2 linked regions of the Pelodiscus sinensis genome follow. The protein of the gene in region 1 binds, or shares a complex with, the protein of each later gene. Links are inferred from orthologs where the notes say so. Each region holds a gene or a part of one and is shown in the gene's direction. Other genes may lie near its edges.

Region 1 (15,347 bases):
GCTCGGCCCCGCCCCCCCTGGGGGCGGGGCGAGAACGCTCGGAGAGTCGGCAACTGGTCCCACCAGGCTCGCGGCCTGAGAGAGTGGGGGGAGTCGGGACAGTGACCGGCAACGACCGTTGGTCTCACAGCGCGCGCTTCTGTCCCCTTCCCACCCCTCACTTGATGACGAGTGAGGGGCGTGGTCTCAGCGACGGTTAAGCTCTGGGGGGGGGGTAAGTGTGCGGTCACGTGACGCAGGCTCTGTCCCCACTGGCGGAGAGCGGCAGGCCCCGCGCTGTGATTGGGGGAGGCGGGCGGGAGGCGGGGTCCGGGCGGGGAAGGTTCTGGAGAGCTGTGGCGAGCTCTGGAAGGTTCCGCCACCCGTCATATAAATGGGGGGTGGCGGCGGGCGCCGCGCTGGAGTGACGGGAACCGCTGACGGGGTGTGAGACGCGCAGCTGGGAGCCATGGGCAAGGACTATTACCGGACGCTGGGCTTGTCCCGGGGCGCCTCGGACGACGACATTAAGCGGGCCTACCGCAAGCAGGCGCTGCGCTACCACCCCGACAAGAACAAGGACCCGAGCGCCGAGGAGCGCTTCAAGGAGATCGCCGAGGCCTACGACGTGCTCAGCGACCCCAAGAAGCGGGAGATCTTCGACAAGTTCGGCGAGGAAGGTGAGGGGCGGCGTGTGGGCGCGGGCCGCGGGGGGGTCCGGCAGAGCTTGGTGGGGGAGATGGGGCAGGGGGCGTGTGTCGCTCGCTGTGGATGGGGGGGCTGCGCAGCAGGAATTGGGGGGCTGCCCCCGTGGTGTGGCGAAGGGCGCTGACGTGATGGGGGGAGGGGGACGCCCTATACACTGGGGCTCTGGGGAAGAAGGCGGGGGGGGGGGCTGTCTTTCAGCGGTGCAGCGCTGGGGGGGGCTGGTAAGCAGGGGGATGGTGCGCTAAGGTTTGGGGTGCAGAGCCTCTGTGCGAGGAGGCCCTGTTCCGGGGAAGACCGCATACCCGTGGGAAGGACATTCTGATGCAGCTTAGTACCTGGTGATAGGTAGGAAGGAGGTGGTTAGAAATAGCTGAATGTCATGCTGCTGGGTATTCTGGAAGTACTTTCCATGAAGTGAGGGGTAGCACTAAGATTGGGGAAGAGGAACATATGTCCTAATGGGGCACTCCCAAACTTTGTGGAGAGGGAACTGTGTATCTCTTACACACAAGATGGAGTGGTTTTCTTTCTTGATGCAATCCAGGGAGTGACAGAGAAGCAAAGTATTTACTAGTGGCTAGTCTCTCTTTAATCCTTTGCTTCTGAAATTCATTCATTTTTGTCTGGAAAGGAGTGCATCTAGTTGGTTTTCAGGGAACAGTACTGAACCCTGAATGGGCATGTACAGTAAAGGGATTCAGCTTTCCCGTGTAGCCTGTAGATACTGTCAGTAGCATGGGATAGCGAAGTGGCTGTCAGAAAAATAAGACTCATAGTAACAGGGAGATGTGTACAGAGCTAATTGTGAAAGGAAGTAGAACTAGTCCTATTAGTGAATTTAGGAATTAGCCAGTTTCTTTTATCTCAGAGCGTCCTGTTGCATTAATAACATAGCCTGTTAAAACTATTAATAAAACACAAGTGTCAGACTCTTTTGAACAAAATACAGGACTATGTAGCACTTTAAAGACTAACAAGATGGTTTATTAGATAATGAGTTTTCGTGGCCCAGACCCACTTCCTCAGATCAAATAGTGGAAGGAAAATAGTCTCTTTGGGAGACTTATTGTGAAGTCCATGTGCAAAGCCTGCCTGACTTCCTCCAAATTAAGGCATTAAAAGTCTGCATCAAATCTCTAATTTAACATTAGTACAGATTTTTTTTTTTTTTAGGGTGTAGTCTCATCCATTTAGATTACTCAAACAAGGGAGCTAGATTTCTCTGTATTTAAACAGCTAGGTTGGCCAACTCAACTGTTAACATCTGATGCTGAAAGAGTATGATTTTTAATATTTTTTAAAAATAGTTGCTTTTTCCAGCTAATAGAATTGTAGATAATTTCCCTTAAATTATTTTCCAAAATTTGTGTTTTGAATTGCTTTTCAGTTGCTGACTTCCCATGTTTGTTTCTCTACATTGCCTTTCCTGTAAATACTTAATGATTTCCCCATATGAGCTGATAGGCCACTTTTCCAGAAGAGGCGGAGCTGACTACAGAATGGTTTTGCTTGTCACTAGAAGATTCTAATATACTGTATTTGTTTGCCTGTGTATGTTAAATTATGAAACTTGCTCCGTAACAGTGTTTTATTGAAGCAGGAAGAATATAGTTGTAGTCTCCAGGCACTCAGATTAAATTATTTTTGCTACAATGGCTCTATATAGATGAGCTAGGTTTAATGCCAATTAAAGGAATACAGTTGATTATAAATTATTATGTTAGGAAACTCAGTAATTGAGAGAGAAGAGCTCTTCAACTTGGCTCTAATTTCTTTTTTGACTAGGGAGGTCTGAATCTTGACACCATTTTAAGATGACAGCAGGCCTCTTTGGTGATGCACATCAAACCTAAAGTTCTAAATAATGACATTCCCAGGATCTAAGAATGAGGAGAGTCTTGAAATTAAGAAAGATATAGGAGACATTTGGTAAATCTTGAGTTTAATAAATTCTTATGAGTAATCACTGGATTATATTCATTCTGTTTTTTCAGGACTAAAGGGAGGTGGTCCCAGCAGTGGCGGAAGTTCCAATGGTACCTCATTCAGCTACACGTTTCATGGAGATCCTCATGCTATGTTTGCAGAGTTCTTTGGTGGCAGGAACCCATTTGATACCTTTTTTGTACAAAGGAATGGAGATGAAGACATGGATGTTGATGACCCTTTCTCCACATTTCAAATGGGGGGCTTTAGTAATATGGGTTTCCCTCGTTCCCGCTCGGGCCATGAAAGTATGCGCAAAAAACAAGACCCTCCTGTCATTCATGAACTGAGGGTTTCCTTGGAGGAAATATATACTGGTTGCACCAAGAAAATGAAAATATCTCACAAACGACTTAATACAGATGGGAAGACCACACGGAATGAGGACAAGATTCTGACCATTGAAGTCAAACGAGGGTGGAAAGAAGGAACAAAGATTACTTTTCCAAAAGAGGGGGACCAAACAGCAAACAACATTCCAGCTGACATTGTCTTTGTTTTAAAAGACAAGCCACACAATGTCTTTAAGAGAGATGGATCTGACATTATTTTCCCAGCTAAGATCAGCCTCCGTGAGGTAAGCAAAGGTTCCAGATTCAGTATGGGATTAGTGGGTGGATTGGGTTGGGTTTTGGCTAGTGGAAGTGACAAGTGTTGAGATCTATCTGCACCCTGTTTCGTATCTGGCTTTAATCCATAATAGGATACCTGCCTAACTCTTCTGTGGTCTGCCTAAAATAAGATGGTAGCTTCAGGATACTTCCTTGTGGAACAATCAAAGGGTATAAACCACCATTAGAGATGGCAGATCACTGGCAACTACTTTGAAAATGATGTGGGTCAGTTTGGATACTGAAAGTTCAATGTGGGTCAAGCAGTTGTACAAATATATAACATAGTTGTACAATTTCTGGTACTGTTACTCTGTGCCTGCATCAGTAACTCAGAAGAAACAAATTGGAATAAACAGGCCATTGCAATGAAACATTTTTCTATTTGGTTGTTTGGGAAATCTGCTAGAGATTGTATATGTTGACACTGTTCTAATTTCCCTGTTTTTATATTTAGGCCCTGTGTGGTTGCACAGTGAATGTGCCAACGCTGGATGGCAGGACCATCCCAATGGTATTTAAGGATGTCATTAAACCTGGGATAAAGCGGCGAATCCCTGGAGAGGGTCTCCCATATCCCAAGAATCCAGACCAGCGAGGGGACCTTTTTATAGAATTTGAAGTAAAATTTCCAGACAGAATTCCACAGGCCTCCAAAAGTGTCCTAGAGCAGATCCTGCCAATATAGCAAGGCTGCTTATGGAGAACTGAAACAAGGACACTTCCAAAGCAAAAGGTTACTGGACCATAACCAGGACTTCAGGGTTTCTCTTCAGTGGAGGGTGTGGACTTTGAAACTCTTCCCCAAGAGTACCATCTTGAAAATTGTGTATTCGCTTTTCAGTGACTTTAGTCCCAGATCATCACTTGAAGTATTTACATCAATGAGCAGCTGCTTGTGGGAGGAATCTGTATCTCCTGGTCAAACCTTTCTTCTGGTGACTAGTTTCCACCCAACTGCTCCATGTGCTGCCTTCACTTAACTGACTAACCATAGACTGAGCATCTGTTTCACCTCATCTCTCGTGCAGAGCTGTAGTTTCCCCATTGGAAAGGGTGAAACAAATCTAAAACTGGACTTGCAAGTAAAAGACTCTCCATCTTGCCTTGGTGTTGTACTATGCTGTGTCCCTTGTCGCTTCCTATACTGAAGGCTTTTCATACAGGGACACACTAAATGTTAACTGGTATTTTTAGTTCTGTAAGTTGTCATTGTCATGCTTAAAAGCTTTTTGTATCAGTTTTTTCTTTGTCAATTGTGTTGGAAGACAATTTGTGTTTCACCTTAATGTTTCCAGAGAGTCACAGCTTAGAGAAGTCCTAAATGTCTTTCAGAATGTAAGCCTTTAAATTTAAATTCCTCACACATTGGCTAACTACCAAAGTTAACAAGGTCTAGTCTAGGGGGAAAACATATTTTTTTTACATTTCAAGTGTAATGCGTTTTGAAGTTTTCCCTCTATGAAAGTCTTCTCTCCCCCGTCCCCCAGACATTTTAAGGTCTCTTAGTCTGGATCCTGGTCATGTGGTGAACAAATACAGGGCTGCCTTTTTTCATTTCAGGTACATAGTACCTAAGGAAGATGCTGAGTCTTACTAACCCTGCATGCAGGATGAATATCAAATTTCATGTTAAAGACTTATTCAGTACGCTAATGGACTCTGGATTCTTCCCCCCCCCCCCCCCCCCCCAAACCAGGACTGTGAACTGGTAGCACTACCCCCAAGTTATCCTTTTTTGATAAAAAGGGTTTTCTCCTGATACAGGAGCACTATGGCACTTCATGTGTATACTTTGTGTGTAATACAAACTATGGTAGCTGCTGTTTTACAGGATTGATTACACTGATAAAGAGGGTGTGATGACATGCTTACTCAAACCAATGGCAGAGCATGATCCTACACTGCCTGGGCCGTGATCTTGTAATGGGATGGCCAAGCTGATAGCTCTTTGACATTAATCTGTCACAATTAAAATCTACTCAAAGTCTAAGCATGTCAGGTAGGATTAGATGTCTGGAATAAAGGACTTACCTACACATGTCATTAAAAATTCAGAGAGATGGGAAAACACTGCTAGAATTTATTCTTGTTGAATACTGGCTGAGTGATTAACACTTTTTTAAAAATGTATTAGCACTTTTCATTGATGGACTGTGGTGTCTAACGGAATTAGTGGCACAGACAGTCACAGTTCAGAGGGTTGGAACATAGGTCTTTACCCTCAAGTGCTGAATGTTTTCTTTACCCTGCTTTCAGCATGATCCTTGCTGGAACAGCTGCACTAGTCCTGAAACACTGCTGTAAAACTGTGGTGCACAACTTTTACAATAAAGCTTAGAGCAAGCAGGGACCAGGAAGCTAGGGCTTCTCTACTCAGGCTATTCTAGCCCTCCTTTGTTTTGCGTCACAAAACATCTTTAAGGTGATGTTCTATACCTCTTTCTTATAGGAGAGCTTCCAGGCCACTCGCACTATACTGCTTTCATTTGTCTGAGTTGAGCCAAGCTAGCTCCCATCTCTTTCTCCCCCCAGCAGATGCCATTTCAAAGTGCATGCATAGCTGCGGTGGCTTTGCTCCATAACAAAGATACTGCCCTTCTAAAACTACTTACCTCATGTGAAAGCTTAAATAGGTAATGCTTATGAGTTCTGGTTGATTGGTGGGGGCTGGAGCAGCTCCCTGGCCACTGCAGGCAGGGGCTGCACTTGTGCAGAGCAGTCAGTGGCAGCCTTGGCACCCTGCAGACAGGCTGCTCCAGCATCCGCAATAGCCTCTGTTCAGGGGGTTGGGGAGCCTAGGCACAGGCTGGAGCAGGCCCTAGCCCAGCTCCTGCTCAGTTAAGTGACTAAATATTACATCAACCTAACATTTAGCTGATTAACTGGAATGTACAGTCCTAACTGTTACTGACCTTGCCTGTATGATGTAGGAGAACAGTTAAATCTACATCATAGCCTCAAGATATAAAATAAAGTGTGGAAGGGGAATTGGTTGTACTTCTGACATTTTACTAGAGCTAGTCTTATGTATAAATTTCTCTCCGATTCCTGTTTGCAATAGACAATATGCTGTGTCTCTTACCTAAAAAGTTCTCTATTCTTTCTTTTCCAGTGCTGTATCTCAGCTAGCAGTTTCTTCCTTGTTTTTGTCAAGAGCAGCTGCTTGTATTAATTTCTCTGTGGGTTTTACTTCCACTTTGCTTCCTTGCTCTGTAATCATGTCTTCTTCACTGGGTACTCAATGATACTACCTCATGCTAGTTCTGGTCCTCCTGTTTGGTTGTGAGCAGAGTAGTTGCTCATGTTTCCTTCTACCATGTGGTTACATCTACCGGATGTAGACTAGACTGACCTCTTGTGTCAGCAAGTTCCTTATATAGAAGTGACTGACATTACATTAATGGATGTCTCACAGAGCAGAAGCTCTGCAGGATAGATATCTACTGTGTGACATCCATTAATAAGTTTGAGAATTTGCTGTAGCACAGCAATTATTACCTCATATTTATGTGTATAGCTGGGAAATGAAAGCTTACTCCCGTCAGGGTAACAAATCGGGGAGAGACTGGGAAGTTAGGGGCAGCAGTTTTTAGATCTAGTTCACACCACACCAGGGCACAGTTTCTGTGTGAGACTGCTACATGAAATCTGATGTCCTTATCCCATGTTCCACGCTTCTATATAACTGTTAAGGATGTTCCTCAAGCTTAGTCAATCAAAACCCTGTATTGAGCCAGGTTTCTTGCGCCTACCTCCTTCTGTCTTCATGAGTGGAAACTTTACACAATGAAATTGTACAAATCCAACTCCTGTCAGACTCCACTTTTCTTATACAGGTAAATGTTTCGTGCTGTATATTCAAGGGGGATTCTGGTATAGGGTTGTTGGATGAAGGATCAGAAAGCAGATGTAATTTGCTGCTGTCTAGCTCACCCAAAGCATTTCATGATCATTCTGACCCTTGAAAATTCTGTTAAGGCGCACATGCAGCTACCAGGCCTGCATACCCATGAAACTACCTGAACCAGCACACGATGCACTCAGTATCATAAAGGGTATTGCAGTGGATTGCACCTGTATTATAATTAGTGGCTGTGATGTGGTCTTCAGGCCCCCAGCAACTTCCTAGCTCAGCCAGCGGATGATACAATTTGCTTGCTGCATAAAGGCCAATTGAGATAGGGTCCCACTAGGTTAGGCTCTGTGCAAACAGTAGATATCCTGCAGAGTTTCTGCTCTAAATAAAACAAAATCAGAGTGGATGGAGGAAGAAATACAATAAGCAAAGTGAACTATGTGAGACCAGCAAATACCAGTTCCATTAACAGTTTTTCTTTTGGATGGGTTTAGCCAGGAGCAGGTCAGCTGAATGGGAAAGGAAGCAAGAGTGGGGGCAGCAGAGAAGAGGTGTAGGTGTGAAGTAAAGCTAAGATGAAGAAACGGGGATGGAAAGTAATGTTGGAACTAGGGATGTATTATCCTGTTTAATCAGTTAAAGGGGGCCCCTCCCCACCATGGTTGGGCTGGAGTGCCACAGGCAGGAGTTGCTGGCTCCCAGCCTAAGCAAAGCTACAGCTCCTGGTCCTGCATGGGGCTGCTAGCTTTCAGCGGCTGTAGGCGGAGCCGGCAGGTCTGAAGCAGCCCTCCGCTTGAGGAGGCTGCTCCCGGGTACCAATTAACCATTACCCACTCAAGCAGAGAATCTGCTAAAAGCTAAACATCATTAAAGGTTCACCTTAAAAAGCACCTGTTAGTTACAAGTACTCACGGGAAGCTCAGAAATGCAATACTAAACGTCTCAACCTTGAATAACTGTCCCATCTGTTTCTCACGTCAGCTGGAATTGGTACTGGATACCGATTTGAGAGAATGTCAAATGCATGCCTCCCTTCATTGCTTTTAAAAACGGAAGTTGAGCCAATAACAATATTCGTTCATTCACCTCGTCTCTCAATAAGGAACCAACGAGAAGGTATTGATCCGCGTACCAGGCCGCTGGGTCTGCATCATTTGTAGCCTTTCCTCTACAGCCCTGTTTTAGGCAGGGGGAGGGGGAGGATGGGTAATGCACCTGGTCTAGGTACTCTACCAACTCTTCCACCTACCAGTTTCTGATTGGCTATTTTCTATGTTCTTGCTTGTGATTGGCCAGGAAAAGCTGCCGAGGCAGAATTGGTTGGTAGGTGTTTCCTGTAGCCAACGTCAACAATGACAATTCCTGGGGGTCCCCCCTCCTTCTTCAATAGTATCTTGCAACTCCACCTCTGAATGGTAGCTCCCACTCTCGCTCCTTTTCGGGCTCCGCGCTCTCCTGGGATGGTATCTGCCTGCTCCTCCCCCATATTCGTACACTCTCTTAGATTGGACGCTTCCATTGCGCCCCGAAGGGGGAGAGGAAATGGAGGGGATGGATCCAGAATGTGACCGCCCAGTTCACCGCCCTGCCCAGCTTGGATTGGCCAAAGGGTGCGCGAGGTGTGCTGTGATTGGATGGCGGGCGCGGAGCCTCTCCCGCCCGGAGCCCTCCCTCCCGTCCCCGAGCGACAGGCCCCAGCTGTGCCCGGCCGGAGTTTGGCGGAACTAGCCCTGCGGGGAGGCGGACGGGGTGAGTCGGCGGGAGGTGCCCAAGGGCGGATCCGAGGGGGGGTGGGAGCAGCTCGTGGGAGCCTGGCAGTGGGGGGGAGGGGGACTGTTCTGGGGGGGGATAGGAGCAGAGGGGGGATGGGCGTGGGGGGAGGTGCCCTCGGCTGCGGGGAGGGGAGCAGAGGGTCAGAAGGGGGGATCAGTTCCGGGGGGGGACAGCTGGCTGGGGGGGAGGGGTTGTTCACCCCTAAGTTGGGCAGGAGCCCCCCAGAAGAGGATGCTGTGGCAGGGATGGGATTCCAGCTGGAGTGTGTGGAGGGGGGGTCAGGCTCTGCGCAGGATGTGATTGATGTGCCCTTGACGGGGTGTGTATGGTGCATTGGCACAGAAGGATGGCCTGTGCGGGTTGTGCCTCAGAGGGCCTTGAGGAGTGGAGGCTCATGGTACCTGAGGGATTAACTGAAGGCTATAAAGTGGGGGAACTGGGAATTGTACCCACGAAATCCTGGATCTCAGGTCCCTCCTGTAATCACCCTAGAAAGCTCCCTCCTTTATGCAAATGCATCTGCAAGCTTGTGTAGGATAAACGGCATGATTGAGGTGCTGCCCCTGTGTCCAAGTACCGCCTTACAGTTAAAGCAGGTTACATTCCCAGTGCCATTATTAATTCCCTCTGTGACCAAGAAGTCTTGTTTATACTAGGGACATAAGCGACTAGTCGACTACCCAATTAGCCTAGGCTTACTGGATAGTTGACTCACTAGTCACTTCCCCCTCCTCTTGCTGCCTCTGTATCAGAAGCAGCAAAGGGAGGGGGAGCATGAGACAGTGCTGGGGGGAGCTAGTTTAAAAGCCGATTTTCCCCCCTCCCCCGAGCACTAGCTCCGCAGGGGGCAGGGGAGGCAGAGGTGCAGCAGGGCAAACAGCACGAGTGGGGTACTGAAGCAGTCTCCACTCGCACCAGGTCCCGACTGCTGTGCCTCTGCCTTTTAAATGTAGTAAGAGCCTTGGAGCAGCTCTGTCTACCATTAAAAGGCAGAGGTGCAACGGGGATAGCAAGCACTACACTCTCCCCTTATCAGCTACTTGATTAGCTGATTAATCAAAATTAGCATCCCTACTTTGTACTCCACTTAGCTATCTGGAAAGTAAGACCCACCTGCCTCATGGGGGTAAACAAAGATTAGTTGATGTATATTGGAAGCACTTTAAGTTTTGCCACTCAAAAGTCCTAAAATAGAAATGGGCAGCATGGAATCTCCAAATGCATATGCAGAAGAAGGGGCAGCATCCTGTAAGTTGGCTTGGGTTTGGTTTGGGGTTTTTCTGCCTATATGAAAGATCAAAAAGGTTTTAACTTAAGTTTAACATGAATTCACCAAGGGCAAGTCATACTTGACAAACTTGACTGCCTTCTGTGTCCAAGTAACTGGCTCTGTAGGTATGGAGAAGGTGGTGGACGTGATATGCCTTAACTTTAGCAAAACTTTTGATCCAGTCTTCCACGGTATTCTTGCCCGCAAGTTAAAGAAGTATGGCTTGGATAAATGGACTGTAAGGTGGATAGAAAGCTGGCTAGATTGTCGAGCTGTTGATTACTACCCGTTGAGCCCAATATCTGTTTGGTGGTTGGTATGAAGCAAAGTGCCCAAAGTCCTTGGGTTGATTTTGTTCAACTTTTTTATTAATGACCTGGATAAGGGGATGGATTGCCGTAAGCTAGGGGGAGAGGTAGATACATTGGAGGGTAGGAATGGGGTCCAGAGTGATCTAGACAAATTGGAGGATTGGGCCAAAAAATCTAATGAGGTTCATCAAGGACAAGTGCAGAGTTCTGTACTTCGGAAGGAAGAATCCCAAGCACTGTTACAGGCTGGGGACCAACTGGCTAATAGGGATGTTAAAATGCATTTATCTTTGTAAACATTTGTTACCACTGAATTTTTCATGTTTACATATGAGGGGGGAGGTGGCTCCCTCAGAGCTGCCCCCCTCAGAGGCAGCAGTGTGGGGCATGGGGAACAGCTAGGAGTCAGTGCTTGCGAGGAGCCAGCAGGGCTCAGGAAGGGACAGGCAGCTCTGTGGGAGTTGGTGTTCATGGGGAGCCAGCTTAAAAGCTGACTCCCTGTGAGCACCAGCTTCTGCCTGTCCCCGCTTTCAGTGTTGCTGCCGCTGTTTACAACAGCGGTTCCCAAACGTTTCCAGATGGGGACCCATTTTGACAATTCAGGAAGACTTGGTGACCCAAGGCAATTCAAAAATGGGGGGAGGAGGGAGGGCAGAGTCACCTGGGGAGACACTTGGTGACCCTTTTGAAATGTAATGGGGACCCATAGATTGGGAAACCCTGGTTTACACTATCCTATCTTTACTAGCTAAGCAGCAGTTCTGCAGAAAAGGATCAGGGGATTACAGTGGATGAGAAACTGGATATGAGTCAACAGTGCGCCCTTGTAGCCAAGAAGGATAACAGCATATTGGGGTGCGTTAGGAGGAGCATTGCTAGCAGATCTAGAGAAGTGATTATTCCCCTTTATTCGGCACCGAATACAGAAAGGGTGCGGATGCATTGGAGAAAGTCCAGTGGAGAGCAGTGAAAATTATTGGGGAGCTAAATCACATGACACTTGAGGAGAGGCTGAGGGATTTGGGCTTATTTAGTTTACAGAAGAGAAGAGCGAGGAGGGATTTGATAGCAATCTTCAACTGGATGGAGAGAGGCTGTTCTCAGTGGTGACATGACAGAACAAGGAGCAATGGTCTCAAACTGCAGCGGGGGAGGTCTAGGTTGGATATTAGAAAAAACTACAGGCAGTCCCCGGGTTACGTACAAGATAGGGACTGTAGGTTTGTTCTTAAGTTGAACTTGTATGTAAGTCGGAACTGGTACATATTGTAGGGGAAACTCTAGCCAAACATTTCTCCAGAGCTCAGTTCTATTCTCCCACACCTCACTTCCCTCAGACCTTTATTCTCAAGCTGAGGTGTCTGCTGAGAAAAGCTGCTCCGTGTCTCCCTGGTCTGCTGCGGGGGGGCGCTAGCTTCGCATCTCCCTGGTCTGCTGGGGGGAAGCAGCTAGTGCGGGGTTGCCTCACCCCGTTTGTAAGTAGGGATCCGATGTAAGTCAGATCCATGTAACCCGGGGACTGCCTGTATTTCATTAGGAGAGTGGTGAAGCCCTGGGATGGGTTACCTAAGGAGGTGGTGGAATCTCCATCCCTAGAGATTTTTAAGTCCTGACAAAGCCCTGGCTGGGATGATTTGGTTGGGATTAGTTGTCCTTTAAGCAGGGGGGTGGACTCGATGACTACTGAGGTATCTTCCAACCCTAGGATTCTACAATTCAAAGTTTGCTGTGCAAAATCAACTAGAAATTCTCCTTTGTTGCTTGTCTATTTAGTATCTTTTAGCCTATTCCTCTCCTTTCCCTTTTCCCATCTAATAAAGGCAGATGGTAAGGGTTTTGCAGGAGTTGTCTCTGGCACATTAACAGGAATTATTGTTTCCCTTTTAGATGTTTGTTTCCCCTCTAAGTGTGACATGGGGCATGAGGGCAACACAGTGAACACACACATGTGCTACAAAGCAAATGAGATAATCAGTCCCCATGTTGATCATGCCTCAAATGAGGTCAACACACTCTGCTGCCAGGGAGTTGGGGAGACGCAGAGGAGCTTCTCAGCTGTGTGTGGTAAATGGCTCAAATTATCCCCCAAATTCAATCCTGCTCCATTGGCCTTCAGGCTCCCAGGGAATGGTGGGGAATGCTTGGGGCAGGTTTGCTCCCTGAGAGCAGCAGGTGCTGCTCCTTCCCTCTCTCTGCCTGCTCATGTTCTAATCCCTTGTCAGCCCCGATGGGGATTAGCTTTCTTTCACTTCAACAAGAAGGCATTAGGGACTGCTGGTGTTTGCAGCACTTTCAGTTTAGCCTTGGGGAAAAGAGGCTAGTAAAAGTTTGAGATGCATGACTGAACTGCCCAGTTGCTGATTTCTTCTCTGGCCATAAACAAACTTGTATTTCACTCTGCCCTTCAAATCCCAGAATTTTCAGGTTGTGCTAAATGAACCTCACTTGAGAAGCATCACTCTCCACATTTCAAAGGGGGAAACTGAGGCACCTCTTGGGGGATGTACGTTAAAGGAAAGTGACTTGCCCAGCATCTTAGCCTGCTAGGGTGGAAATGAAAATCTGAACTGAGAGCTCCTCAGTCCCATGTTTATGCTTTAGCCACTAGATCAGTCATGATATTGACGCATGCCCACATGGAAAAAAATGTCTACTTTTACTGGGCAATTTGAGAAACCTTGTTTTTTTTTGTTGGTTTTTTTTTCTATTCCCATCAGGCTGGCCCCCCAGCTCTGTCTCCACAGTGAGGGTCACAAGTTCCTGGGGCAGGAGAGATATGCCACTTTAATGGGCACTGCCATTTGTTATCTCTTTCCACTTGACAGCCTCTGGCCCCAGACCCAGCTGCTGAGGAAAGCCCCTCCCCTCACCCCCAAGCATTTCCAGCCATCTTGATTCATTTGAATTGTGAATGATTTTTGTAACCACTTGGCCCTAAAGTTCCAAATACTCCCTAGTAATTCTGTGTTGACTTGGCAAATAGTTGTGCACTCTAGAAGGGGGTAGCTTCACCCTCTGCTGAACATGCAGCCCCCTCTGCTGTGGAGCACAATAACTGAAGCTGCTCACTCTATCTGCACACCACCCAACAAATGTCTATATCCCGTCTTTATGGTATTAGCATTTCAAATACGGTTCAGGAGATCTGCAAACAGAGCTCTAGTTCCTCCCTAAAAGCAAAGGCAGGACTATGAATTGCTGTACCAGGAAGTTGTGGAGTACATATGGAGCTGCACTGCAACTATGGGTAGGTCTTAGACAAATAAGTGATCTGCCAGTTCTGGCAGGTGCAGAAGTTAAGTGTAAAGAAGTAGCAGCCCCAAACTGATTGATGTGTGCAATACTCTGAAGTTAAAACTTTAAATTAGGGAGTCTGTCTGGCCACTTGGGTCCTGTAAGAACTTGGCCTCCCGTGGTTTATTAGGGCTGTCAAGAAATTTAAAAATTTAATCGCAATTAATCGTGTGTGCCTCCCCTTTGAAATGCTGTGGTGGCGTTTCAACGGGGCAGTGCTGCATGGAGCCCGGAATCAGCTGGAGTCCCCAGCTGACCCCAGGCTCCATGCAGCGCTGCCCCTTGGAAGCGCCACAGTGGTATTTCCAAAAGGTGGCATTTCCAAGGGGCAGCACGTTAGGAGCCTGGGAACAGCTGGGGACTCCGGCTGATCCCCCTGGCTCCATGCAGCACTGCCCCTTTGAAGTGCTGTTTTGGCACTTTAAAGGAGCAGTGCATTCGGAGCTTGGGATCAGCTCCCCAGCTCAGCGTTGCCAAGCCCCTTTGCAGTGCTGCTCTGGTGCTTCAAAGGGGCTTTGCAACAGCGGAGCCAGGGATCAGCTGGAGTCCCCGGCTGATCCCAAGCTCCTAATGTGCTGCCCCTTGGAAACACCAGAGCGGCACTTCAAAGGGGCAGCGCAGCATTAACGCTGGCAATTAACACGTTAAAAAAATTCATGCGTTAGTCCTGTCCTGCGTTAATCACAGGCGTTAACGCAGGTCAATTGACAGCCCTAGTTGTTCTGTTTGCTGCTCTCTAGAACAGTATGAATGAGTTATGATAGGCCTAGCCATAGTAAGACGTGTTCAGTGCTGAGTATGAATCTCTGGAAGCAGGTCTCCGCTAGATCTCCAGATACTAAGGATATTAATGTCTAACCTTTTCTAGTAAGCCTGACCCTGAATGGTAAGGGCTGGAGTGCCTCTTGCCCCGCCCTCTTTTTAATCGATTAACTCAGGGGTGGCCAACCCATTAAACAAAGAGACCCGAAACAGTGGCAGAAAAAATGCGAAGAGACTCACCAGAATTGTTGAGCCAAAAAAAAATGCTTCCCCTTTAAAAACCACAGGTTAGGCTTTTTGGTCACATCAGGCTCCTGCCGGCCAATACCATCTTGCTGCGCCGGACCGCTCCCCTGTAGCCGAGATACCGAAATGTGTGTGGCTCCAAATGACTGTTTAGCACCAGGAAGTGAAGAGCCGTGTCCCATGAAACTGCCACTTAAAATGGGCAGAGGGACAGGGTGAGTTCTGGCCTCCTGTGAATGGTAGATGCAGTGAGACAGGAAGCAGGGAGCTAGAGGTGACACTAGTCAGCATAGGGAAGAAGAGGGTGGGGGAAAGACAGATATGGGCACAGAACAGGGTGTAAGGAGAATCCAGAGTGAGCTGGGCAGCTAGGGTGAGAACACAGATGTGGAGAAATTCTGCAGCCTGAGCTGAAGCCGCTCTTGGGGAGCGCTGCGAGGAGCATGTGGGTCTGTGCTGGATGCGGGGGGGTGGTTCTGGAGGTGCCTTTCTGCCCTGGGTGGTGCTGGGGCTCCATTGACTGAGCCGGTTCCCACTGTGGAGTAGTT
Region 2 (15,655 bases), on another chromosome or scaffold:
AGCTGGGCTGAATGAATCTTGTGTTTCTCCTAGGGGTCTTGGTCTGGGACCCAGTGTAGAGGATGGGTTGGCTTCCCCTACTGGTTGTTGGTATGGGTGTGTGGTCCCTGAGAAGGAATATGGACCTTTTGGAAGCCCTGAGAAAATCTCCAAGCCCAGAACTGAGGGTAACAGACTGGGTGCAGGGCTTGGCCATCTGTTATGGGTTTTCTTTGTTTTGTTTTTTTTACTAGACTTCTTTACCCTAAAAAGGGATGGGGCTAAAGTGTGATGCGATTAGATGACTGGACAACAGCACAGCACTGCTGAACTATAGCAACTGTTGGTAGGGGGCACTAAATTACATCTGTGAATACTTAGTGAATTAATTAGAATGGTTGTTAGGTGCCTATATGGGGACCTTAGGGGAACCTGGACTTCAGCATCTCTATGCTTCAGCTTCCCTAGAAGTCTGTATCAGAGCTTGGATTAGAAGCCTGTGCTCTTGCCACTTAGGACTTCTGGTAATAATGTTGCAGTGATACCCAGCAGCCCACGGCACAGGAGACCTCTTTAGGCTGAACATATGGAGGGAAAGACAGTTCCTGTTTGGAAGAGCTCACAATCTAAACAGACAGAACCAGGGAATCTTTTTACTGGTGAGAAACTGCAGCATAGAGTAACTTGCCTGAACTCACAGATACGTCTGTAGTAGATGGGGAAACAGAACCTAACTCTCAAGAGTCTTGCAGTGCTGCTTGAGCTGCAAGACCACCTCTTTCTTCTCCCCAAAGAGCTATAATAAGTGATCTCATAACCTACAAAAGTATTTCCATTGCATTAAACTAGAACTTCTGTAGATTCAGATCTACCAAATCTATCCCTGTTAAATGTTCACCTCCATTGTTAACAAAGAAAATAGTTTCCTGGTAAGAACCTGTATTTAGGCAGCTCATCATTGCAGACAAAACACTGAGGCTGTGTCTACACTGGCGCGTTCTTGCACAAAAATGACTGCTCTTGTGCAAAAACATGCCGCCTGTCTACATTGGCTACGTTCTTGCGCAAGTAAACTGACATTGTACTGTAGAAAATCAGGGCTTCTTGTGCGAGAACTCTGACACTCCCTCTCAGGAATAAGCCCTCTTGCACAAGAGCTCTTCCAGAAGAGGCCAGTGTAGACAGGCAACATGAATTTCTTACACAAGAAGCCCCTATGGTTAAAATGGCCATCAGAGCTTTCTTGCGGAAGAGAGCGCCTACACTGCCATGGATGCTTTTGCGCAAATGCACATACCAGTATAGACGCTCTCTTGTGGAAGAGTTTTTGCACAAGAACTCTTCCACAAAAGAGTTCTTGAGCAAGAAGCTGCCAGTGTAGATGTAGCCTGAATGTACTAGCCTGATGGGTGAAAGAGGCTACAAGGGACTGCCTGTGTTGCACAGCCTGTGATGCTCTGTATTGCACTGAAAAAGGCTAATCTATGAACACGAGGCTTGAGGAGAAAAAAAATATGATTCTATTAAAAACTTCTCAGGGTCCCAATAAATTGCTATTTTGCTAAGAGGAGCAGTGAGGGCCTGCAGCTCAGTGCTATCAGAACCATGCTGTTCCGCCATGACTTCTCTGCACTCACAGCCACAGCTGTAAGGGTTTGTTTGCAGCAAACCTAAGCCCACTCTCTAAATTCTGTTTAGTGAGGAAGATCTGTAGCAAAGAGATGCTGTCTTACTCTTTCTGATAAATCACCTAGGCTAGCCATATGAAATCTGCCTGGTTGCACTGTAAACAGCTATTGCAATGCAAATTCATAAACTAGAAACTCAGTCAATGATTGTTCAAAGATTTGCTAAGGATTGAAAATAAATTGGTCTATTTACTGCCTTACCATTGTTTGAGTGCCTTGAAGTGCAATAGGCAGGTCCTTAATTGATACAATATGTATGATGAGGCCAATCAACCACAAAGAGCTTACAATCTACGGCTACATCTACACTGGCATGATTTTCCGGAAATGCTTTTAATGGAAAAGTTTTCCATTAAAAGCATTTTCGGAAAAGCGCGTCTAGATTGGCAGGACGCTTTTCCGCAAAAACACTTTTTGCGGAAAAGCGTCCGTGGCTAATCTAGACGTGCTTTTCCGCAAAAAAGCCCCAGTCGCCACTTTCGCGATCGGGGCTTTTTTGCGGAAGACAAATCTCTGCTGTCTACACTGGCCCTTTTGCGCAAAAGTTTTTTGGAAAAAGACTTTTGCCCGAATGGGAGCAGCATAGTATTTCCGCAAAAGCACTGATAATCTTACACGAGATCGTCAGTGCTTCTGCGGAAATTCAAGCGGCCAGTGTAGACAGCTGGCAAGTTTTTCCGCAAAAGCAGATGATTTTGCGGAAAAACTTGCCAGTCTAGACAGCCCCCCTGTGCAAAGCTAGGCAAAGGAGAGAAGATGTGGGAGCAGCAGATAAGCACAGTGATCAGATCCATATTAGAGACAATTCCTGCTGAGTTCTTTTCTTTTTGTTCTTGTTCCAACCCCATTCTCCCGTGAGCCACATTTCCCTCTCTGCCCCACTTCTATCAATGAGCCCCCTCTCCTATCAAAAACCTATAGACACAGAGAAAGGGCATTTCAAGGCCAGAAGGGACCACTATAAACATCTAATCTGACCACACGGACCACAGAACTTCTCCAAAATAATTCCAGGAGCAGTTCTCTCATAAAAGCTTCCTAGCATGATTTTTTAGTAAATTGTTCTAGTGGACAATCACTCTGTTTCAGTATGAATTTGTCTAGCTAACTTAGCCAGTTTAATTTAGTCTGTGTGAGGACTGGAGAGGTTGTGGGGTTAAAGGCCTCCCCTGTGGCCATCCTTCCTCACTGTCCAATGTGGCTCCTGCTGATCTCTCCCGCCCCCATCCATACCCTTGGGCTACGTCTACTCTGCAGAGTTTTTGCTCAAAAACTCACAGAGCGGCCACACTACAAGCGTGTTTTTGCACAAGAAAAAGTACAGTAGATTGTCAGAAGACAGGGCTTTTTGCACAAGAGTTATTCCTCTTTCTAGAAGAGCTCTTGAGCAAAAAGGTGTGTGTGGATGGACTACAGGGGTATCTTGCACAAGAAACCCTATCGGAAAAAGTACAGGTGCTCTGATGGCCATCCTGTGAATTGCCATCAGAACTTTCTTGTGCAAGAGCACCCTGGCAGTGTGGACACTCTCTTGCGCAAAAGTGCATCTCTTGCACAAAAGCACATGACAGTGTGGATGAACTCTTGAACAAGACCTTTTTGTGGAAGATATCTTCCGCAAAAAGTTCTTGTGCAAGAAGCCTGAAGTGTAGACGAAGCCCCTAGGAATGGAGTGGATATGGGATGCCGGTGGCAGATTTGGACTTAACTTAAAATTTTCACTCTCTTATGTTTGCAGGTGAAACTCATCAATTTTGAGTGAACTTTTGCTTTGAGATTGGTTTCACAACTCAGACAAATGGAGGTCATGTCAAGCCCAAAGCACACCCACATTACAGCCTGCCACAAAAAAGAAGATGAAGAAGAAACTTCTGAGTTTTGCACAAATCTACTCACAACACTTCTATCTACCTCTCTCTCACTCCCACACACACACCAGGCAACACTTAAATCAGGCTTGGGAAACTGCCAACCATTTCCAGATACTATTTGTACAATAAACAAAAAAAAAATTTTTTTTCTGATTTCCAGGTGCTCCGTGTACTAAGCTACAGACACTCTCTTAGAATTTCTATCCCTAACATAGCGACCATGCTACGGAAGACATGGTGTGAGAGACAAACAGCACTGAATGCTGGAGAACTCACTTGATTCTAGGCAGTGTCACACATTGAATGACGTGTTATATCTAGAAACCAGTCTCTTTCTTTCTTTCTTCCAAATGGTCAGCTTGGTGGGTTATTTATTTGGGTCTGCTGAGTCAAACCAGTTCATTTCCAACATGGAATTGTGAGCTGTCCCCCTAAAGTCAAGCTGTGCTCTGGTAGCTTGCTGCTAAAACCAGGAAAATAAATAGATGTTTGTACTCAGCATAGTAAAAGGGCTAGACACAGAGCCTGCTGTTTGACAATGTTGAGTCAATATAACCTGAGTAAGTGCATGAGTAACTCATGTTCTCTCTATAGAACATCTGTGCTTGGGTAAATATATTTATTAATGATTAAAATGGTTTTGAGTTGTTACACACACACACACACACCTTTCCTGCCCCCACACACACTTCCCCCTCCCCCTGTCTAAAAAGATGTTATCTTTTAACCTGCATAAGTGTCAAACAGAAACAGATTCTGGCCGGGGGTAATTGTCCAAATTCAGAGGCATAGACAGGTTTTTTTTGTTGGTTGTTTTCGGACCTTCATTCCTTTCTGAACAAAGAAAAATACTACGAGCTGCATAGTGGAGATTAAAACTCCTCTATTAATAGCATTATCTGAACATATTCTTTAGGGATTCCAATTGCACTAGTAATAATGGGAATGAGCATTTCTGGAAAAAATCATCCTCAAAGCATCTCGTCAGAGGATTGTTTCCTGACAACAACAAAAATGAAATATTTACCTGATAATCTTGCAATACTACCAATATTTTGGCTTAAACTATATCAGTGTAGGAAAGTAGTCATTACAGTAAACTGGAAGTCAGGATGCTTGGCTTTTAACCCTGACAAGGCCAGTAACTATATGCTTTTGGGCAACTCACTTATTCACCTGGGGCTAAATTTTCAGATATTACTTGTTATTTTGGTTGCCTAAAATTTTGGGTGTCTAATATGAGGTCCTTTAAAAGGGTCATCTCATTTGGAAGGAGACCAGATATCGTGGTAATGAGTGGTGGTAGGAAACCCTAAAAAAGACAGATTATGGGATGGGGCTCCCCAAAAGAGAAGCATTTACATAACTCGTCAATTTTTTGGAAAATGAAGACCTCCATGCTTCAGCTTTTCCTTCTGTAAAATATGGATAATGATACTTACCTGCCTCACACTTAGGGCTTAATTAGCCAGCATTTATAAAGCCCTTGACATCCTAGAATGGAAGGTGCTAAATATAATGTAGTGTTATATTTTAGAGCATGAGTTTAGTTCTGGGGAGTTAATGATACTCTAGTATTTAAAATTTGAAAATAAAAAACCCCAAACAATCTTTTTAAAAAGAACCAATATCTGTAATGGATAGTTATGATTAGCAAGGACAATGAGTTAATGAGAAAGCACTATTTAATTCTATGCACATCTTCAGTGAACATCGCATGGTTATTGCAGTTATGTATTAATTAGTGCTCTGAAATGGGTGAAAGGGACATGAAAGGGGTGAAGGAAGCTAGCAGGTGTAGAAATGAGATTAGACAACAGAGGACATTTCTATCCAGAATACGAGTAATCCAAAATCCCCATCAGTCTCAATTATATGTTTTGTATAAGTGAAAATAACTGAAGTAACATGAGAACAGCCCAGGCACAGGGATGGCTCCCGATATTGAAAGAGAGGCACAGAATCTATTAGTATGAGCCTGCCAGGAGTCTAGTGACCAAACATCAGACCTAACTACCTGCCCCTGATCTATGCATGGTTAGGCCTCTCAATGCACAACTCACACCCTTCCCTAGTGGAAGAAGGCACCAAGATAATACATATAAGTATTATTTTATTTACCATTTGGTTTATTTAAGGTGTGCTAGAGCTTAAGCTGTACCAGAGCTGTGTCATATCAACACTACCATATGGCTCAGAGTGCTGGCAGATGACAGAGTGCAACCGTGCCAAACTCTCATCCTTTCACACCACCAGCCTTCGTAAGATACATTGTTTTCGGCCAAAAAATGCAATCTCCAACCACGACCTGCTCCTGCGATGCCACCAGGAGTTCATGACAACTATCATTATGAGAAAATGCTGGAGATGGATAGGGCACGTGATGAGAAGGGAGGCAGATGCCATTGTAAAGATAGCACTTCACTGGACGCCTGAAAGACGACGGAAACATGGGAGCCCCAAGACAACATGGCGGCGTACTGTTGAGTCAGACATGAAGAGAATGAATTACAACTGGGACACACTGGAGAAAATGGCCAAAGACAAACAAAAAATGGAGAACCTTCGTTGCTGCCCTACACACCAGCGGGCGTAATAGGCATTAACTAACAGATTATGTTTCCAAGATTTTTTTCAGAACCACAAGTGATAGAAACTTTCCTAGAGAAACAAAGATTCTTACACTTCCAAAGAACTGTGGGGACCAAGGCCTTAAGATGTACAGCAATTATTGTGACAATATACAACTACAAGAATGAAGGACACTTCAGTCCTCCTCTGATCTCAGAGATGACGCTCGATAAGTCTGTGGCTCCACACTGGGGAGTGAGCAGACAAGAAGTGGGGCTTGGAGCTACCTCATTTCCTTCCAGCTTAAGTTGAAAGAGTGATAAGACAACCCAGTCCCAGGACAATCTTACCCTTCTTCCTCTGATGGAACAATTAGGAAGAAATCTTGCTGAGATTTTCTCCACATTAGTGTTATCCTGCTGATTTTCCTGAGGGAGAAAACAATCAGCCCATTGTTAGCAACTAGTGATTATATTAAATGAGTTTGGTATGGGTTTCAGTTTATTTTCAGAGGATGGGTGCTCACATCACACACACAAAACTTCTCCAAATTGGGAAAATCTGTAGAAAGGTCAATGAAAGTGAAAGAGAGACTGAATGCCAGGGCATACATTCAGCCAATATTGGCATACAAATACCTCTTAATTCTGATCTGTTTTCATTCAAAAAAATAAATCAGTTTCTAGCTAGTAGGAGTGCACAGTAAACGTTATCAACATGCACTCGGTAACTGAGGCAGAGATCTCTATGTCAATCTGCAGAAAGCCTGCAGATTAGAACATTAGTTCTAAAACCCTGAATTTTAGTGAGGGGTAAACTCAGAGGTCTAGTGATGATAATTTGTGTCAAAATTGTTAACTATTTCATTCTACATGTAAGAGGTTGTCTATCTTGTAAAAAATTTCCATATATAGTGGTATAAGTATATAGTTAAATCAGTATAACTGTCTTGATTTAAACTCCATGTAAACATTTAGTCCAGTATCAGAGTTGCTTTTTTGCAGTGGAGGGGTTCTTTTAAACCTATCCTAAAGCAATAAAGGTACTTGTACACTGGAATGGGGGTCCATGTAGGCATTACGCTAGTTTCACTATATTAGTTTAACTTCACACCTTAACTAATATTGGTATAACTTTTCTGTGTAGAAAAGCCATCTGAAAGAAGAGAGAGGACCTCTGACCTGCACAACTGAGTGTTATCTCCATAGGGTACCTAATGCAAATAAACCAAGCACAAGATGCCCAATGGAGCTCAAAGAATATGCACAATTATAATTTGAACACCTGCACAATCTACTGTGAGCAGCAACTCACAGGTGCAGAGTTTATTTTGTGGGTGCAGATGGAAGAGGTATACTACCCCAACCCGATCCCTACTAAGCTCTCATTCCTAAGTCTTCTTGGATAGGATTCAGGAACATTATCAGAGCAGTGTCAGGGAATTCTGCTGCCTGTGCTATACCTGCCCTGGGAATGAGTAGAAGATTTCAAGCTTGGGGGATGTCAGCTTTTCTTGAGCACATTAAATAAAGAGCAGCTCAGTGCAAACACATCTCCATTGCAACAGAGGGAATTAAAACAACAAGCAGTGCATGGCGCCAGTGACTGAAATACAGTGGGATTGGTAGAGATCCCCCCACCCTTACATACTTGAAATATTTGTCCACTTAATTTATCCCTGACCCCCAACTCCAGACAGTCTGACCTCTCTTCTTTGTTATCCTTTCTTGTACAACTTCTTTATGGGGAGTGCAATACTTCAAGAGCACTGAGAGTTAACCTATTTTGACTGTGGGAAGTGGGGGGGGGGAGAGGGAAGACTGGATAGGAGTGGGTCGGCAAAAATGAATGTTGTTTGGTTATTTTTACTTATGGTTGCAATCTTGCTTTATGTCCGGACGAGAAAAAGTTCTTATCTCCCTTTCAGTCCCATATTCTGATTAGAAACACGACCCCCCCCCCCACACACAAACACAAGAGTTATTTGTTAGAAGAGCTGCTATCAAGGAACAAGGGCTGTCTCTTTGTGTGGTTGGCTGGTGCGACGTTTGCCTTCCAGCTTTTGGAAAATATCTTTAACTTAATCATATTCACATGACAAACCCTAAATTAAAAAAAAACACACATCATGAGTAATGCAGAAAGGAGAGAAGCGAAAGAGAGGAGAAGTCTGAGAGCGGCGGATCGCTTCACAGGCAGAGCGGAGCTGTCAGAGAGAGAGAGAGAGAGGGGGGAGGGTGCTGCTTTTTGCAAAGACGAGATCGGGAGTTTAACCCCATCCGATCTCCGCGCTGGCGAGAAGAGAGAGAGAGAGAGGAAGGTCCAGTAACCAGGCAAAGGCTGCGATTGCAACAAAAGCTCCGGACTTCCCTCCTGGCGTCACTCAGTGCTGAGGCGTGTTGGCTTCGCAGGAAGCAGGTTTTCCTCCCCTGGCTTTGCAAAGCCCCCTTTCCCGTGGAGCCTCATGCACTCTGCAGAGCAGCAGCCCAGGCGGCAGGATGACTCCCGGGGAGAGAGGCGCTAAGGTGCTAACCCCCCTCCTGCTGCTGCTGGCCCTCCTCGCCAGCCCCAACGCCGGCCTGGAGGTGCAGCACAAGTTCCTCTCGCCCACGTTGACCAACAACTTCGCTCTGGACGGGCCGGGCAGCAAGATCTACCTGGCGGCTGTCAACCGGCTCTACCAGCTCTCCGGCCCCAACCTGACGCTGGAGGTGGAGGAGCAGGTGGGCCCGGTGCCGGATAACCCCCTGTGCCACGCACCCCAGCTGCCGCAGGCCTCCTGCGAGCACCCCAGGCGGCTGACCAACAACTACAACAAGATCCTGCAGCCGGACCCGGAGCAGGGCATCGTGGTGGTGTGCGGCTCCATCTACCAGGGCTTCTGCCAGCTGCGCAGCATGGCCAACATCTCCGCCGTGGCCGTGAGCTTCCCGCCGGGCAGCGCCAGCGGCGGCGGGGAGCCGGTGACCGTCTTCCCCAGCATGCTCAACGTGGCGGCCAACCACCCCAACGCCTCCACCGTGGGGCTGGTGCTGCGGCCGGCGGCGGGGAGGCGGGACACGCGGCTGCTGGTGGGGGCGACCTACACGGGCTTCGGCAGCCCCTTCTTCCCGCGCAACCAGAGCCTGGAGGACCATCGCTTCGAGAACACGCCCGAGATCGCCATCCGCGCCCTCAACGCCCGCGGCGACCTGGCCAAGCTCTTCACCTTCGACCTCAACCCCTCAGACGACAACATCTTCAAGATCAAGCAGGGCCACAAGGCCCGCCACAAGCTGAGCTTCGTGCGCGCCTTCCTGCACCCCGCCCCGCCGCTGAGGGGCGCCGCCTACGCCTACCTGGCCCTCAACAGCGAGGCCAACGCCGGCGACAAGGAGAGCCACTCGCACAGCCTGCTGGCCCGCATCTGCCTGGCCGAGCCGGGCCGCAACGCCAGCGCCGGCGAAGCCAAGAAGCTGACCGAGTCCTACATCCAGCTGGGGCTGCAGTGCGGGCCCGGCGGCGGCAGCGGCTTCACCCGCCTGCTCTCCGTCTTCCCCGCCGCCGCCGCCCTGCAGCTGGCGCCCGCCGGCGGGGAAGGGGCCCGGCCGCAGGAGCTGCTCTTCGGGGTCTTCGAGGGCGCCGCCCCGCCCGGGGCCCGCCACAACTCGGCGCTCTGCGCCTTCCGCTTCGCCGACATCGAGCGGCGCATCCGGCAGGCCCGGCACTCGTGCTTCGTGGAGCCCGACTCCGGGCGGGTGGACGTGCTGGACAGCGTGGTGCAGGGCACCGGGCCGGCCTGCGAGAAGAGGAACATCCAGGTAGGCGGCGGGGGGCTGGGATCGGGCCCCCCCCTGGGCAGCCTTGTGGTGGGAGGGAGGCAGCTCTGGAGACGCGCCTGTCGTTAGTGGGGACCCCGCTGCCCCGCTCAGGGGAGCTTCAGCATCCTCGCTGATATTGGATCTCAGGAGTGGGGATTCCTCCTCTGGGATGGGGAGCGAGACTCCTGGGATGTTGCAGTTGCCCACCCTCGTGGGGACCCAGGTAACAGCGGAGTCCAGGAGAGCAGAGTCCCAACATTAGGAGAACCACTGAGAAAGTTCGGAAGGTGCCCCAGATAAGGCCGCAGCTTAGTTTTCTAGGATGGTGGGACACCTCTTCTGTAGAGGGTGAGAAACTGGAAGGTTCCCTTTCAAGGGCCGTGGCGCAGGGAGCAGATATGTCCCTGTGGAAGATCAGAGTGCAGAGTTGGGGAATCCCTACTGGGGAGAGCCCCTAATTCTGATAAAAGTGCAGCTCAAGAGAGCAGATTTTGAGGCAGAAGGGGTGTGGTTCAAGGCACTATAACCCCCTGTCGGTGGAAAAAAGTTAGGTAATCCATGTGATACTACACTACAGTGAGATGATTTTATCCTAGGGAAACCACCTGCTGGCAGAAACCCAGCTGTTTAGTAGATGAGAGACTGTAAAAGGCAACCTAGAGCTCTGCAGGACAGGGCTCAGCACACCCCAAACAGACAGTGTGGTGAGCCCCTGCTGATATCCAGCAGTGCATAGACTGGAATGCTTGGCTGAGACTGGATTCTCCATGGTCCCAATCTTGAAGTTATTACTCAGGCAAAACACTTTTAAAATCATTGTAAGGACTTTAGAATTGGGTCTCATGTTTGGATTAATAACCGTGAACCTTCTTGACTAGCTGAGTAAGTGATAACAATCCATCAGGTTGAAGTCTGGTGGGATTTGAGAATCATGGAAGTGAGAGGCGGAAAAGATTTATTAGTTTGTCCATTGGAATTGTTCTCTTCAGTCCATTCTCCGGTGCTTTGTCTAATCCAGTGTAAACATCGAAAGTGATACAGCTTTCACATATCTGTGTATCTGACATAAGCATTGTCGTATAAATGCAAATTAGAGATGGGATTCAGTCAGAAGCCTGCATGTGAGAACCACTGGACTTTGGGTTGGTGGTGCTTGGAATCAGAACCAAAAGCCTGACCGGAATGTTATAACTAGTCTCAGGCCCATACGCATTTCTGTGGGGGTATGTGCTTTTTTTGTAAATGTGGACCACAAGGGTGTAAATGCACCCCAATGGTCCCCCACATAAGCTGGGAAATCAGCCCCAGCCTTCCCTCAGCTGGTCAAAGCATGGCTGTGGGAGGCTCAGACAGCTCACTGCTCCTGCGGAGTATACTTACTTAGGGGACCATGGGGGGTGCTTTCGCACCCTTTGCACTCGCCCTGTGTACAGGCCTGAGTCTCTGTGGGTGTGAACTTGCACACTGTACCCCATTAAAATCTGTTGCAAATCTCCATAGACTTCAGTGATGCATATCAGGCTCTAATGGTCTATCCCAGACCTTAGCACCTGAATCCCTGTCAGACTTTGGATTTGGGTGATGGTTGAGAAAGAGTATGTCAGCAGCCAAACCCAGACCTCTCTCAGAGGTTTACAGTAGTATGAAGCCAAACTTCTGCCCTGGATTGAAGTGGGTGTTAGAATTTGTATGTGGATTCTGCATTCCCAGGACTGTCTCTGTTCAAATCCATCTCATAGCCTCCTCTGATCCATCACTATGAGTGATTCTGGTTTATGTACACAATTTAGAAAATTGAGGAAGACATGCTGAGTACAATAAGCTCCTTTTTGGCAATGATTTACATTAATTCAGTATCCATGTGTAAATTTAGGTTCATTGTGACAATCAATTGGATTCCTACGTGGCTTACTATGAAGTCAAACATGCAGTGGTTTTTGCATACATACAACCACCCCCTCTTTTATCAAGGACCATCTTTATTCCCACGTTCCCTGTCCCCAGTGAACTAGTGGTGACTCACAGACTTTATTTTTCTCTTTCTTTTCATTTGTTGCTCTCTGTACAGACATGGAGGAAAGGCAGCTCTAAGAATGTGTGTTCAGTTGTAGCTGTTCTCTTCCCACGTCCCTCTGTATATTTCTGCAGCAGGACAGTGCAGGATGTGTACAGTACATAGAGAGGGAACACAGGCTGAATTGTTTCATTGCATTTGGTGTGCAAGTTTACCATTGTCACAAATTGTTACTAAGTGGACATGAATGTTAATAGAAGCAAGGTGGGAGGGCAATATCTTTTATTGAACTAAGAGACAAACAAGAGTGCAAGAGACAAGCTTTTGAGCTTTACAAAACTCAGGTTGGAAATTATCACTCGTGCCCACTTTATTTTAAGTGGTTTCTGGCAACATATGTTTACTGGATGTTTAACAATTTGTCCCATCTTGTAGTTAGCTGGTTACATTTTCCAGATCTGAATATGAGCTCTCTGAAGTTTGAAAACATTTCACTCCCATCAACAAAATTTGGTCCATTAAAATATATTACCTCATCTGCCGTGTATCCACGTATCCTGGGATCAACATGGCTACAAAGACACTGAAATATAAATTTTTATGCCGGATAAAGATGCCTATTTTCCCCTTTAGCAAAAGTCACAAATTATTAAACAACAGAGCTGCTTTAGCACTGTGTCTTTTTTTTCTTCTGCTGGGAAAAGGGCAAAACTTGGCTCCATCAAAGATTATAAAAACATCTGTTTGATTTCACAGGCAAGACAGAGCACTTGGGTTTGGCTTCTGTGCTTCACAGTGCAATGATAGAAAGGTTTCCTATGGTAACCAGTCTGTTTGGCAACGGCAGCCCCATACTAAGTTACAATAGGTAGCCTTAATGCCGTAGTTCATAGACTGGCTTAGGGACATTGAATTGTTTTCCTTTGGTGGCAAAGTACAAGCTGCCAGACAGCCAGAAAATCTGGTAACCATTGTGGCTTTTAGTTAATGCCACAAAAAGACACAGTGCATTAAATGGTGTGGATCCAGTCCTAAGGGCTTCTGCTCCCATGGTAGCCAGTGGGAGTTGAGGGCCTGATTTTCCAGAGCTGTTGAACACCTACACTTTCAATGATTTCCACTGACATGCTGGGTATACTGCTCAGTATCCCTAACAATCAGGCCCTCAACACTTTTCAGGGGCACATTGTGAGCAATGACTGCAGGATTAGGCAACAGTAGCTGAGATTTTCCAGGGACACTGAGGGTATGTCTACACCGAATTCCTCTTTCGAGAGAGAAATGCAAATGCAGCTGAGCGAAATTGCAAATGAAGCGCGGATTTGAATTTCCCGTGCTTCATTTGCATAATTGCGTCCGGGCTCTATTTCAAAATACCCTATTTTGAAAAAAGAAACGCTGTCTAGATGCGGTTATTTTGAAAGTAAACCCTTCTTTCGAAATAACCCTTAAACCTCATTTTATAAGACGTAAGGGTAATTTCAAAAGAAGGGGTTTCTTTCGAAATAACCGCGTCTAGAAAGTGTTTCTTTTTTCGTAATAGGGTATTTTGAAATAGCGCCCGGACGCAATTATGCAAATGAAGCGTGGGAAATTCAAATCCGTGCTTCATTTGCAATTTCACTCAGCTGCATTTGCATTCCTCTCTCGAAAGAGGAATGCAATGTAGACATACCCTAAGGGTGTGTCTACACAACAGAATTTAACTCGAACTATGTCAATTGCGTAGCTTATTTTGAAATAGCTTATTTCAAAATTGGGAGGGTCCACACAGAACTTATTTCGAAATAGAACACTCTTCCTCTTCCCTTACTCATACAATGAGGTTTACAGGAATTGGAGTAAGAACTCCAGCTTGACAATATTTTGACATTATTTCAAAATAACTGCCTGCTCTGTAGACATGGACTAAGTTATTTTGAAATAACGCTAGTAATTTTGAAATAATGTTGCTGTGTAGTTGTACCCCAAGGAGTTAGGTGCCCAACTTCCATTGAAACTCAACCTGGCACCTAACTAACTTCCTCAGACTCCTTTGAAAATCCCAGCCTATATGAATAGTACAGATTTTTTCTGATTTATAGTCACCTGGAGGCAACAATTAATAACAATGAATAAGCCATTCTTTATCAGCACTTAAAATATCTGGATTTTTTCCCTCTGTAAAGCGCTTTATACATATTAATGCTCCTCTCAAGCCTCTATGTGGCACTCACGTTAATGTATTTATTGCTGTTCATAGCATGATGATGAGATTTGCCCTAGTCTGCAGATGAACTCAGTGTCAGAGCAAAGATGAAAACTAGGGTTATAGTGTAAAGCAGGTGACTTCTCTTCAGGGACTGACAAGATCCATCTTTTCTTTTTAATTAATTTTTGTATTGATTCAATGATTGCAGAAATGAATGCTGTACTCAGGATCTTATCTATATGTAACGATGACTAAGAAGATTATTTGTTCCATAATGAAAACTTATTAAGAATAGTTATGTTGTTAGAAGTGTGGTTAAACGATTTATGTGGCATTTAGTGGCAGAAGCCACAAGGTTTTGAGTTCCCTCAGCTTCCATTGAAGTCAGAGTTGAATTACTCAGCACCTGGCAGGATCAAACTGTATATTTTCATAAGGGGAATAGGATAAGTTAGTGATTATAGTTTAGGGTTGGAAATCAGGAGAACCAGCTTCTAATCCTGATACTGACTATCTGTATATCCTTGAGCAAGTTGCTTCCCTGTGCCTCAGTAAACCAATCTATAAAATTATCTTACTGTAGTAACTGAGCTTTACTTCATTGGGTGTTAATGATTCCTGTTTTGAAGGTGCTTTGTATTCCTTGCATGGAAGGTTCAGCAGTACATAAATGCAACATACTATTAATATTTGTTCCTGCTTAATATTTGTTCATTTCCCGTTCACTTGAAGTGCAAATCTCTAGAAACGTTGACCTAGTCTGCTGGAAGCTCTCTTACATGCCATTTAGTTGGAAGAAGAGCTTTTCAGTTTTTTCCACTTTTTTCTTAATCATAAGGATTGCCAGCAAGTTAACAAGCTGCTTTTATTTCAAACTCCCCAAGCAACTGTGTCAAGATGAGGGTTGTAATATAATGTTTCTTTGCACTGAAAAAAAATCTAACACCAATTTCTACCTTCGAGACAATGAAATGGTCTAATACATTTTACATCCCAGCCCTGGGAACACAGCAGGAAAATATATTACAGCTGCTGCTGGCATGGTGTTTTAGCTAAGGGTCTATCCATGTTTCTATTATAAGCTCCACTTTTTCAGCAGTTAGTGGGTTCCCAGGTTTGAGGGGTGGGGTTGTCCACATATAACACAAATGTGTTTAAGTTTTTCTAAGTGGTTCTATAGATTATAGGGGAGGTTTAAATGAGTTTAAAAAAATCTGAAATGACTGGCTGATTCATTGCAAACATAGGTTACAGAGATTCTGTATTACAGCACATGGAATGAGTAGTGTTATGGGGGGTGTTGATTGGAAAGAAGTCCAGGGTTCAGTCCTGAAAACCTTGCTCATATGACTAATCCTGTTGAAGTCAGTGGGACCCACAGGAAAAAGACTGTTTGTGTGAGAAGTAGTGGATTGTGTGGTCAGGTCCTTAGACTGTAAGTTATTTTGGAGGCAGGAACTGTGCTTGTCTGTAAAGCATCATGCACACCTATAGTGCTGTATAAATAATAACGAATAAATAATATGCTTGAGGGACAGACA

The links.
Region 2: the proteins of GIPC1 (region 1) and PLXND1 are in contact, whole or in part, in a crystal structure (PDB 5V6T), measured with the Mus musculus proteins. The link is inferred for Pelodiscus sinensis from reciprocal best matches to the Homo sapiens genes GIPC1 and PLXND1. Residues at the interface, in NP_061241.1 of Mus musculus: His61, Glu141, Ala142, Leu143, Gly144, Leu145, Thr146, Ile147, Thr148, Asp149, Asn150, Gly151, Phe156, Lys158, Arg159, Arg190, His191, Tyr192, Glu193, Ala195, Arg196, Leu198, Lys199; in NP_080652.2 of Mus musculus: Glu1400, Met1889, Glu1893, Arg1899, Gln1902, Gln1904, His1905, Glu1908, Ile1918, Tyr1919, Cys1921, Tyr1922, Ser1923, Glu1924, Ala1925.

What each region holds. Positions count from the first base shown.
Region 1 is NC_134729.1:10,600,315-10,615,661, reverse strand, and holds the start of GIPC1 (PDZ domain-containing protein GIPC1), read left to right. Parts: upstream 1-8,741; 5' UTR 8,742-8,892; intron 8,893-15,347. Other genes in the region: DNAJB1 (dnaJ homolog subfamily B member 1), read left to right, coding at 449-659, 2,682-3,250, 3,742-3,972. UniProt on the Homo sapiens protein: May be involved in G protein-linked signaling.
Region 2 is NC_134721.1:20,124,886-20,140,540, reverse strand, and holds the start of PLXND1 (plexin-D1), read left to right. Parts: upstream 1-8,438; 5' UTR 8,439-8,607; coding exon 8,608-9,909; intron 9,910-15,655. UniProt on the Homo sapiens protein: Cell surface receptor for SEMA4A and for class 3 semaphorins, such as SEMA3A, SEMA3C and SEMA3E. Plays an important role in cell-cell signaling, and in regulating the migration of a wide spectrum of cell types.